Drosophila melanogaster: one gene and its partner. The protein of the gene in region 1 interacts with the protein of each later gene in a biochemical or structural test. Each region holds a gene or a part of one and is shown in the gene's direction. Other genes may lie near its edges.

Evidence for each region. Proteins that work in one complex are often made in the same cells at the same time.
Region 2: of the proteins of Rab10 (region 1) and Crag, one has a biochemical effect on the other in vitro, tested with the Drosophila melanogaster proteins (one study listed by BioGRID).

Annotation. Positions count from the first base shown.
Region 1 is NC_004354.4:20,248,700-20,255,191, forward strand, and holds Rab10 (Rab10), read left to right. Parts: upstream 1-2,638; 5' UTR 2,639-2,931; coding exon 2,932-3,058; intron 3,059-3,538; coding exon 3,539-3,738; intron 3,739-3,808; coding exon 3,809-3,898; intron 3,899-4,366; coding exon 4,367-4,564; 3' UTR 4,565-5,992; downstream 5,993-6,492. Other genes in the region: CG17068 (uncharacterized protein), read right to left, coding at 170-2,254; CG17065 (uncharacterized protein), read right to left, coding at 6,201-6,382, 6,433-6,492.
Region 2 is NC_004354.4:8,589,789-8,595,641, forward strand, and holds the start of Crag (Calmodulin-binding protein related to a Rab3 GDP/GTP exchange protein), read left to right. Parts: upstream 1-2,242; 5' UTR 2,243-2,803; intron 2,804-3,691; 5' UTR 3,692-3,707; coding exon 3,708-4,008; intron 4,009-4,304; coding exon 4,305-4,851; intron 4,852-4,909; coding exon 4,910-5,060; intron 5,061-5,122; coding exon 5,123-5,394; intron 5,395-5,459; coding exon 5,460-5,673; intron 5,674-5,749; coding exon 5,750-5,853. Other genes in the region: CG12081 (uncharacterized protein), read left to right, coding at 1-574; CG12659 (uncharacterized protein), read right to left, coding at 1,515-1,714, 1,774-1,906. UniProt on the Drosophila melanogaster protein: Calmodulin-binding protein that acts as a guanine exchange factor for Rab10 and Rab11. Essential for maintenance of adult photoreceptor cells.

The DNA of each region.
Region 1 (6,492 bases):
AAGTGATGTAAAAACTATGCACAATTAGTTCCCATTTTGGAACTAGGAGAAGGGGAAATATAATCGTACAGATCAAATAATTTCCATGGCCAATGACGCCAACCAAAGACTATCACATCGGAAATACAAGGAAGGAGACCTAAACTAACGAACTCATATTGCTCCGCATTCAGTCGACCAGGTGACGGCCATGGTCCTGCGGTGTGGAGAAGATAATTGCGTAGATAAGGCCGTCGCGAACCGATTCGGTGGGGTTGCCCACGTTGAACATGAACTTCACGCGATTGCAGTTGGCATCGGGCACACAGGAGTACATGGGATACCAGCCGGTCTTGTTGAACACCACGTAGATCTTGTAGATCTGGTTTCGGTATATGTACACCGGTCGATCGAACGTGATGTCCAGCAGCGAATCGTAACGCACGCGTGCCGTGCAGTGCGTGTATGTGATGCGTGAGCCGTGCATGTCCTGGATGTGGGCGTACAGCACCTCGGTGTATCGTTCCGTAAAACCGGCAGAAGTCATCAGCTCGCCGCACAGCACGCGCGTGGGCACTTGGACGCCCAGGATCCAAATGTTGGTGTCCACCTGGAACGTTACGCCCGCATCCGTGACGCTGGTGTTGCGGAAGTCAAATTGCCGGGTAAGGGAGCGCATACAGTACGCGCGCACCATGTCGTTGTGCGAATTTCCAGCTGCGGATCCAGCTCCTCCAGCTGCAGCGCCGCCAGCGGGCGCCGGTGCGCCTCGATCGCCGCCATCATCATCATTGGCGGGCGCTGGGACTGGCGCTCCGCTCTCGTAGCCCTCGCCGAAGCAGCGCAGTGGTGCTGGCGCAGGTGCGGCATCCGGTGGGACGCCCACCGGTTCCGGCGGGCGGATGACCAATTCCTCGCCTGCGAAGCCGAATCCCGTGCCCACGGATCCGAAACGGGGCGCAATGCCCATCATCATACCGCCGCCGGAGGGTCCTCCGCTGCGAACTGCCGGTCCCGGTCCCGGGAAACAGACGCCCGAGGGAGCGGCTCCAGTGCGATACGAGGAGGACAATTCTCTCTGGGCGTGTCGGTGGCCCGACTCGTAGAAGTTGCGCGTGCTCCGCGACACGCAGAAGCCTTCGGGCATGTGACAATCGTTGAGCGAGGGACTGGAGATCTTAATCAGGATGGAGAGGGCCTCGTGCTGCTGCAGCAGCTTGGAACGGGCCGGTCCCTCCGCGAACTGCTGCGGCGTCATGGTGAGAAAGCGAATCTTTTTGACCGCCTGCCTGAGCATGGCGCCATCGAGAATGGTGCGCTGGGCGTCCATGATGTTAATCATGTTGGCGGCGGCATCGGCCGAAGCGTCGCTATCGATGATTACCAGGTCGTCGGAGCCGGAAGCCACGTCCAGCGGCGGGGAGGCAGCCGTGGGCGCAGCTGCAGCCGCGGCAGCCGCAGAGGAAGTGGAAGCCATCCCAGCGTCCGTTTCGAAGCTGTCAGCCTCGTCGTCCTGGTGCATGTGCTGCACCATGGCCGCCACATCGGGCTCCATCTTGATCTCTTCGACCAGCACATGGCCGGCAGCATTGTCGGGCGATTCCTTGGTCAGCACCTGACCTCCGCTAGCAGTCTCTTCCTGGCCGGACTCGTTCAGGATGCCCCGCTCACTGGCAAACTTCAGCAGGCAGTTGAACAAATCCAGCTCGGAGTCGATGTTCAGGCGATTCTGGTCAAGAATGGCCATCAGGGTGGAGACCTCGATGTCCAGGAAGCTGGGATCGGACAGAACCTCGCGCGTGTTGGCCGCGATCAGATCCATGCTGCTTTGCATGAGGCGCGGCTCATCGAACAGCTTGGCAAACTCGTACGCCCGGCACGCGTTTTTCGGACTAAGATCAGCCCAAAGGAAATGGGTGCAGCGCGTGACCACGTGGGGCAGCATGTACTTCTTGGCCACGTAGCACAGCTCGCAGGCCTTGTCGAAGGACCCAATGGTGATGCGGTCCGTGTAGATGTACTCCAGCATCGCCTCGAACGCCTCCGGCTGCACGTCCGGAATGACGATGGGGTCCGTCTTATCGGGCAGGTTGCCATAGAACATTCGCTCGAACACCGGCGAAGCCATGGCCAGTAGCAGCTTGTGGCCGGCAATGAGCCGCTGGGTGGGCGAAGAACCCACCAGAAAGCGGCAGTCGGCCCACTTCTCCGAGTGGAGCAGGTACTGGCCCCGATCCTTCAGCTCGGTGAGGCCGTTTTGCCAGTCGATGTCCATTGCCTGCGGTGGATTGGCTGGGATTGGGATCACTGTAATCCAAACGTTGTTCGCTCTGATTTGTGTGAATAATCCACCTTTTTGCGAATCGGTTTGGGATTTTGCGAAATTGTTATTATTTTACGATACCGATAATTGAATGCGTGCTTACCTATCGATTGGCTGTCGTACCGATAGCAGAGGTCTGCCAAATGGCGTAATAATTAAAAGTCATGTTATGAGCTTTCTAGCAAAAATACTTAAGCATTTAAGGTATTATCAAGAGTAAACTCAAATCTTTCTTTAGATTTTAAGCTGTGATTTCAAAACTGTGACTCCATAGCAGTCGATAGTTGTATTAAACCATCGAAGTTGCCACACTGGTGAGAGCATGGATGGTATCGAACAGATATCGATTCATGTTCCAGCTCTAGTTCTAATAGCAACAATTTCAAGCGAAAATATTAATTAATTCGGCGCATTTAAGACACGCGGAGAAAAAAGAGCTAGCTCGAGATACAGGATCATTGCTTAGGCGGCCATAACCGAGAGAAAGAGCGAAAAAGGGCAGGCGCTTCAATAATAATAATATCTCTTGTCACCTGCGCCCGTGCGTTTGTGTGTGTGTGTGTTTGCGTGCGTGTGAGTGTCGCGTGTGTTTGTGCTTTGTTCTGCGAGCGTTCCGTTGCGTTTTGGAAATGGCAAAGAAAACCTACGATTTGCTCTTTAAACTGTTGCTGATCGGTGATTCAGGAGTGGGCAAGACGTGCATATTGTTCCGGTTCTCGGATGATGCATTCACGTCCACGTTCATATCGACCATAGGTGAGTAACGGGACCGTACGCACATACTTGCATCTGTCCACCCGCACCGCACACACACACACACGCGCACATGTCAGCTGCACAGCCAGGATATATATACGTGTGTGTGGGTGTGTGACTGGGCGTGGCACTGCCTTATCGACTGGCCTATGCACTGCTTGTTTCGATCGCCTGCGGAGTGGAAAGCGGAGGAGAAGTGAGCAAAATATGCCATCTATGTGGCTATGTAACTCCCTGAACTTGAACTTTTCGTACTAAACTACTGCATGTTCGCAACACGTAACACAGACGTGTGATCATTTGGTTGGAATGAATGCTTCATATACGTCTAATGTAATGAATCATCGTGATATCAATGTCGAACTGCTTTATTTTATTCAATTCCAATGTAATCGATAACACCGCCGTGACGTCATTCGGCTCAAATTGCGTTGGTTTTTCCGCACTACATTTGCTTTCTCGTTCAACCGTTTTTCTCAGGCATCGATTTCAAAATCAAAACAGTCGAGCTGCGCGGCAAGAAGATCAAGCTGCAAATATGGGACACCGCCGGCCAGGAGCGGTTCCACACGATAACCACCTCGTACTATCGAGGCGCCATGGGCATAATGCTGGTCTATGACATAACGAACGAGAAGAGTTTCGAGAACATAGTCAAATGGTTACGGAATATAGACGAGGTAGGTGTTTCCCCTGCGAGTAATGGCCTTTTCTAAAGTCTGAAATCTTCTTCTTTTTTTTTTGTTTTAGCACGCCAACGAGGATGTGGAGAAGATGATCCTCGGCAACAAGTGCGATATGACGGACAAGAGGGTGGTCAACAAGGAGCGCGGCGAAGCGGTGAGCATCCCTCATCCACAGAGTGCCCCCACAACAGCAATCACTGTCAGAGATTAGGAAATATAGTCGTAGTTAGATCGTTAAGCTCTTCTGCCATAGGAGTTGAGTTCGGAAATCGATCATATATTAGTGTGTTTAGCTTTCAAAGCCAACTGTTTTTTACAAGCGAATTCCATGCCCCTTAATAGTTTCCTATTGTTTTGATTTTTTAAGATAAGTTTGCAAATTGAACACAGCGAATATATTCGTTCTCTGACAATCAAGACGAAACTATTTAGGTGCTATAGTATGTCCGTGGTAATGAATGCAAGGGAAAATTTCCGGAGGCATACAATTTATGTTAGAACTATTCTGGTTATTTATTATGATTGTTACTCAATGATCGCACACGCCCCACGTCTGTTTGATCAATTTGTTTACAAAGCCAATAACTTGCTCCCCTTCCCCATCTCTGCCCACGTTTTTTAGATTGCCCGTGAACATGGCATTCGGTTTATGGAAACATCCGCCAAGTCGAACATAAACATCGAGCGGGCCTTCTGCGAGCTGGCCGAGGCCATTCTGGACAAGACATCAGGACGCGAGTCGGCGGAGAATCAGGAGCGCGTGATTATCGATCGCCGGAACCAGGAGAAGGCGCCGGGCTACAGCAAGTGCTGCGCGTAAAAAGCGGCGTTCTAGGCGAACGGGGCGTGGTTTGGCCCGGTTTGTGCTCAGCTGTGCGTGGGGAAGGCGGCGAAGTACGGATTGGATTGGATTAAACTGGACTAGATTGAATTGGAATGGAACGAAACGAATCGAATCGAACCGAAAGCAGTGGGGACCGGTTTCTGAAACCGCTCCGCACGGACGAAGCAAAAAACAAAGCAATAGAGCCGGGGTCATTCGCACGTAGGAAACTTACTTATTACGAGGATACGCAAAATGGAACAAGCAACAGAAACAACCTACCTAAAGTTTAACAACAAGCAACAGATATTGTAATACGAACATTTGGAAGCAACTTTACAAAACTCCGAACGATGGATGGTGGTCGGGCATGGGCCACGTTAGTTAACGCCCACACAACGTGGACGCAAGGATCTGCATATCCATGCCGCACTCGATCGGTTGACTAACGTGGATCGGATAACGAGGATCAGCTCCAGCCACTGTCCAGCCACAAGAAACGATAATGATAGCGCTGATGTCGCTGACGCAGACATAAGCAACTTTTGTAACGTACTTTTGATACACATATAGTCTTACGATTCCTGTACTCAGTCATTCGATCGCTCGCTCGCTCGCTCGTTCGCCACCACTCGCACTCCCCAGCCGCCCCACTTAGTGTTTCGTTTTTGTTTTGCGTTTCAGCCTAGATATAAATAACACCTATACATATTATACATCGGATAGTAGTATATAGCCTATACCTACTTAGCTTGCTTTCGCTTTCTATGTCGACGCCAAGCCAAGCCAGCGAGGAGTTCGATGGGGCGGGTGGTGATGTACGCCCTGCTCTGCGTCCTGGCCACTCAAGCTTTCAAGCCAGATCCTCGGCCAGAGTTGCAGTTCCATAGGGAGTTTCGAGATCGAGGTGTTCCGAAATCGTTTTTGATTATTGCCTGTGCATATATATATATATATATATATATATATATATATATATATATATATATATATATATATAGATATTTAGATATAAATATATATTTATATATATATATACATATATGAAATTACACACCGTATATCGCATCGTTTTTATGTGCATTCGCGCCCGCACACCCAATTTATATATAATATATATGTATGTATCTGTGTACACTTAAGGGGGCTTGGGTGTGCGCGCGTATATATCTCCATGCTTGTATGTAAGGACGGTGCACGCCATCAATGTAGCATTCGCATTTGCATTCGCATCCGCAAGGGAGGAGCGCCCCAAACCGAACGCACCACCTAGCGCTCGCCTCCCGTCTCCTTGTAATTTTATTCTACTCTTTTTTTTTTGTCGTGTAAACCTATTATTTGTAACTGTATATGGATTTAGTTTAGTTGTCCACACCAAATGATTTACCGATTAAAATATAAAGAACAACCTAAACCATGTCATATAAACCAGTGAGTGATTCCTTATTTCAAATGGCAAACAATCATCGTTAAACAATTCATTTGAACATCCTTGGCTGCACTCACAAGAATCTCAAGCTCCTTCAATTGGAATGTATAAGTTTAACAATTTATTTGGAGAATCTTCGGTGTAGAATCCTGCATCCTGCATCAGGTAAATAAAAACAATTGCAACAGTTGCACATTCGATGCGCTACTTGACAGTCCTATGAACACATACGCCAGCGATCCAGGTGGATAGCACCCGGAGCTGGTCGTCCAGGAGAACGAAGTCCGCGTCCGAGCCAAAGTCCAGGGTGCCCTTCTGCTTTTCGATCTTCAGGCACTGTGCTGGATGCAAGGTGGCCGCCTCGATGGCATAGACCACGGAGCAGTCTGCAAAACGGAGTAATTAATGCGAATTCTAGCGGGGATCTCGCACTCACCGGTCGCCTTCTGGAAGATCCGCACGCACTCGTCCATCGGGGCGATGCTGCCGCACAGCG
Region 2 (5,853 bases), about 12 Mb from region 1:
CTGTCACGAGATCGTCTACCTGGACATGAAGACCAAGGTGTGGCATCGACCGTTCACGGCCGGTAAGGTGCCCGTTGGTCGACGCAGCCACAGCATGTTCGTTTACAACAAGCTGATATATGTCTTCGGTGGCTATAATGGCCTGTTGGATCAGCATTTCAACGATCTGTACACCTTCGATCCGCGCACCAAGCTGTGGAACCTGATACGGGCCAACGGCAAGGCACCGACGGCGCGTCGGAGACAGTGCGCCATTGTGATGGGCACTAGGATGTTCCTGTTTGGCGGCACCAGTCCAAGGAGCGGCTCCTCCAGCTCGCCGGCAGCTGTTTCACCCACTCAAGAGACGGGCGGAGCCGCAGCGGCTGGCGGAGTTGTTCCGCCCGGTGTGGCGCTTATCGACTACAGCGATCTGCATGTGCTCGACTTTGAGCCCACTCTAAAAACCCTGGCCACCATGGTGGTGCTCAAGCACCAGCTGGACATCTCGGGGCTGCCAAGGAGCTTCCGCTCGGACCTGCAGATGCTGACACAGCCGAACAGTATTAGCCGGCCCATCAACCAAGCTGGCTAGCGTCCAAAGCCGTAAGGAATAAGCCGGAGTCGACTGCCACAAAATGGAATGAGGTGGAAAAATGGTGTTGAATCACGGAGCCACTAGTCCGGTTCTTTGTATTGGAGCTCGAATAACACTTTCGGGAGAGATGACGAATGGAGGACCTGAGCGAACGAGGGAGAAGCCCCAGTAATTACAAAAGTTTTAGAAACTTGCTTTTGGTACTTCTGATAGCTGCTAAATAATACACAATAATTATGACCATGCGAATGTAGAATATAGTTCATGAAACATTTATAAATCGTCCTCAAATAATACACAATAATAATGACTATGCGAGTATAGAATATAGTTGATGAAACATTTATAAATCGTCCTTTCGCCAAAATGCCCGATAAGAAAATGAATATAATATCTTAAACTCATTAATCATATTATTCAGTTTTGTTTACTTTGCCTTCTTGCTGAATTTTGTATAGCTGGTTAACTTAACACTATATTAATCTGTGGGCCGTTCATTGCGAACTCCAAACTTGCACGAGTCGGCTGTTTAAATATTTGCTTTTCGCATTAGGATCTATGTGGCAGCCGTTTCGTTAATTTAGACACTTTCAAACCGCCAAGGTATTCATCTCACCTTGGAATTACCTAATCTATTTTTGCGGTCAAACTAGTGACAAATCTCTATAACTAATTTACAGAGATCATCTCCTTTTAGGCAGTGTATGCATATATATATATATATGGTAATTGTGGATGTAACTCCCCTTGAACGCGGTGTTCCAGGCAGGAAACAGTCATCGAATCACTTGAAAGCAACAGCCTCGCACGCAATGCCAGTAAGAGTAAGGTCAGCAGCGCTCTAATTGCCTATTATGAGTGGTAGTTGCAACGCAAGGCCTCCAGGTGCGGAACACAGCGAGTACTTGGGATGTATGCAGTATATGGATCGAACAAACTATCCCACGGCGCTGGTATAGCCGCGCACCATGAGGTAGCCATTGACGATGTCCGAGGGCATGTGCTGCATGGACGCGTACTCGTCGGCGCTGGCGAACCTTAGTTTCGTGTGCGGATCGGCATAAGGAGCGGGCAGACCGCTGATATCCGAGTACTTCTTGGCCGGAACCAACGAGGGCGGTGCATTGAGCGTGAAGTCTGCAATGTGAAGTACACATATGGATGCCGTTGCGAATCCACATTCATTGCTTACTCACAGGTGGGTTGTTCGGCGGACAGCTTCTGGCTACGCTCCATGTTGCTTATCTGACGTAGAGGGCGGTAAACACAGTTCTTTGGAAAGGTAAACGGACGCTTAAAGGAGCGTTTAGGCTTCGCATTTTGTTCCATATTTCACACGTTTCAAGCTTGCAATTGAGATGGCCAGAAATTTAGAGATGGCAACTTATGCCACGGTGAGTCTATCGAGAGTAGTAGGCATCCAAAGGCATCGTTATCGATTTGATAAGCGTTAAATATATCAAATAGAAATAAAAAAACAGCTGTCAAAATTAAAGAATAAAGAATAAATTATTACGCATCCATGTAAGTGGCCTCTGTAATTACTCCGTTCAAATTGTTTGAAATTAGTCTTTGAAAATTATAATTCAACCAGGCGGAAAAAGTTTGCGATTGGCGATGATATACTTTCAAAGTAATCAGCATTTAGGCTTATCGATAGACCAAAAGCTAGTCTTATCTGGCAACGCTGAAAATGGCCTGAAGCAAAGGCCAAATAGTTATTAATAATAGTAAATCCGATAATAATAGTCGCGTGTTTCGTATTGCATGTTAATTATATAGTTCGCCAAGCAGCGCATACAGGCGATTGGCACATTCCGCCAGTCACACCGAGCCGCGCACACGGCTGGCAGGCCAGTTAAATGAACATTATTCCTTACTTTTCTGTCCACTGCACTCCACACGTATTTGCGTAGCTTTTAAAGTAGCTAAATTCGTGGATTTCAACGCACTTGGCGCGTCTTAGTCAAAGTGGCCCAGTTAAGCAGTCCAATTGGAAAACTGTGAAAATGATGTAAAGGAAAACTCTCAAGTAGTCCAACTGTGTGTGCGTGTGTGTGTGTGTGCGTGCGGTGAGTGTTGGTGTGTGGAAATTAACGTAGTGTGAAGAAGAAAAGCGAAGGAAAAGCGACAATTGCAGTCCAAGGCGAACAGCAAAAGCAACTGAAGGTTGCCCACGCCCCCTTCGTCCCCGCGCCCCCTTGGAGGACAACTAACGGGAGTGCAGTAAGTTAACCAGCCAGCCCCTCTTCCCCTGCGCCCTGTGCCCTACGTCTTCCACTCACACCTGCCAATTGGACTCCTGTAAACAAAAACATCGCATCAGCAATCAACACAAACAAAATGCGTTGGTGCTATTGTGCTGTAAAGCGGAAGTGAAGGAAGTTGAATCATCAAGCGGAACTTGTTTTCCCCAGCTCCATTTGTTCTTGCTGTCGCTGTTGTTGCTGTTGCTTTTGTCGCTGCTGCCGCGCGAAGCATAAAAAAAAAGTCGCCAGCATACAAAGTCCAATCAGAATATCAGTTAATGCATGCAATTCCAATCGGACGCCGACATTATATGATATGTAAACAAAAGCATTTTGCGCCCAGCGGGCAAAGATACAGTGAAGCATGCGCTTGGTGTCACCAACCAGTACTCCAGTGGGTCACCCACAAAATAATCATAATATCTTGCGGTTCTTCTTTGTGGGTAATGCGATCGGATGTGATGAAATATTAAAGATATCAGTTCTCAGCTTTTTTACCATTTGGTTTTCAAGAGATAACATCATTTTCACATCGTTCGAAAAACCGCAAAGTAAACATGTTTCTTTTCATGAAATCTTAAAAACATAAAGATTTATATATGTTTCCTCATGTCCGTTGCACGAACCAAGGGAATCACACGATTACTTGTGCGTGCCGCTTATCTGAATCTTACCCTCGGAAGAAGAACTATTAACTTTGGCCCCAGGTGATGATTACTTAACAAAATATTAATTAATGTGAAATTGGGAGCCACCGCAACTAGTAGAACTGGTGTTCCCTGTCGACCTTATCTTATCTGGTCTGCCAGTCCCGCCATGCCAAGAAATTAACCACTCACTCGGGGTCTTTTGCTGTCTCTTGCAGAGGAAACGGCGCCGCCATGGAGGAAAAGCGCATCGCCGACTACTTTGTGGTGGCCGGAATGCCGGAGAATCCGCAGCTGCTGCAGGAGAACAGCTTCAATGACTCGGGAAGATTGAGAGCGGCCACCACCATCGAACCGATCACGGACATCGGCGTCTATTTCCCGCTGCTGGGCGAGGAGGTGCCCGAGGGATACGAGATCCTCTCGCACACGCCCACGGGTCTACAGGCGAACCTCAATCACGGATCGGTCCGCACCACCGACTGCTACATCTACTTCCGGCGTGGCAAGGATCGCCCGCCGCTGGTGGACATAGGTGGGTGCATTTCTGCCGGTTGTGTTTTTTTTTTTTCTAAGAACTCCAAGTTATTTTTGGTAGATTTAAGAAATCGAAATGAAAGACTGGGCTTTATTTCTTGATAACGAAAGTAAATTTAAATATTGTAATCTCGACACGACTCGTGATAAAGCCAACAAATTGTTGCTTATTTAAATCAAATAAAATCGTTCACAGTCAATATAAAATGTACAGTTATAGGTGATTAAATGCTTGCGTCGTCATTTCTAAGTAATAAAACTTGACTTTTATATTAATCTTTTCCACTCTTGCAGGAGTCCTGTACGATGGCCACGAGCGGATCATGTCGGATGCGGAAATCGTTGCGGAGACGCCTGGCGGCAGGGTGGCCAATGTGAACAACTCGTCCGCGAAGACGTTCCTCACGTACCGACGCGCCCGAGCGGACATGCCCTGCAACGAGCTGGTGGTCACCGAACTGTGCGTCATTGTCCAGAGCAAGGGTGAGCGGGCTCCGCACGCCTTTTGCCTAATCTACAAGACCCTGAACAAGGGCTATGTTGGCAGCGACGTCTACCTGTGCTACAAGAAGTCCATGTACCGGCCTAAGCACATCAGCTACAAGCCGGAGATCCTGCTGCGCTACCCCACCTTCGACCACACCGACTTCCCGCTGAATCTGTGCCCGAGCGTGCCGCTCTTCTGCCTGCCAATGGGCGCCTCCCTGGAGGCCTGGCCACACGTCAACGGCACGGAGAAGCGGAAACCCATCAGTCCGGTGTTCAGCACTTTTGTGCTCACCGTGAGCGATGGCACCTACAAGGTTTACGGATCGGCGTTAACTTTCTACGAGGATTACGAGTAAATTGCAATTGAATATATTTCAAAAATTATATACACTAAGGATTTACACTTTCAGTGAGTCAAAGTTGTCGGCTGAGCAGAAGGAGCTGCTCGGTTGGGACGAGGAGTTCGGCGCCCAGCACTCGCTGCACATGATCAAGGCTATATGTCTGCTGTCGCATCATCCCTTTGGCGACACCTTCGACAAATGGCTGAAGTACCTTCATGTGAGCTTACACTCCCCATAACTTTGATAGAATCTAATCCATATCTGGTTTTATCGTTATAGCGAATGGTTCTGTATGACGTTAATATACCCATTCCCGTGGAGCGCTACATCACCCAGCTGCTGGACGAAGTACCGTTTCCGGCGCCCAGCATTCACCTGCAGCTGTCCAGCGAGTCCAACGATCGCATACTGCTCACACAGCCGGAAGATTCCCCGCTGCCGCGAAGTGGCGCCGGTTTCCACATACTGCTCCAGAACCTGGGCACCGACAACTGTCTGCATGTGCTGCTGCTGGCCCTCACCGAACAGAAGATACTCATCCACTCACTCAGGTATGTGCATCACATGTACCGAATATCCTTACCGTATCCTACATATCGATTTATTCGCGCCGCAGACCTGCCACGTTGACTGCTGTGGCCGAAGCCATTGTCTCCCTGCTGTTTCCGTTCAAGTGGCAGTGTCCGTACATCCCACTTTGTCCGCTGGGCTTGGCGGAGGTGCTCCATGCCCCATTGCCTTATCTCATTGGCGTGGACTCGCGCTTCTTCGATTTGTACGAGCCGCCCACGGATGTCACCTGCATCGATTTGGACACCAACAACATTAGCGTACGTTTGGGCCTAGTTTTCCGATTGGAAATGTGTTCCTAATGAATCAATATCGCACCTATTACCATACTTGCAGCTATGTGAGTCGCAGCGTCACTTGTCACCCAAGCTGCTGCCGAAACGGGCAGCCCGCCTACTTCGCCAGACGCTCACCGAACTGGAGAATGCCAAGCCCATTAG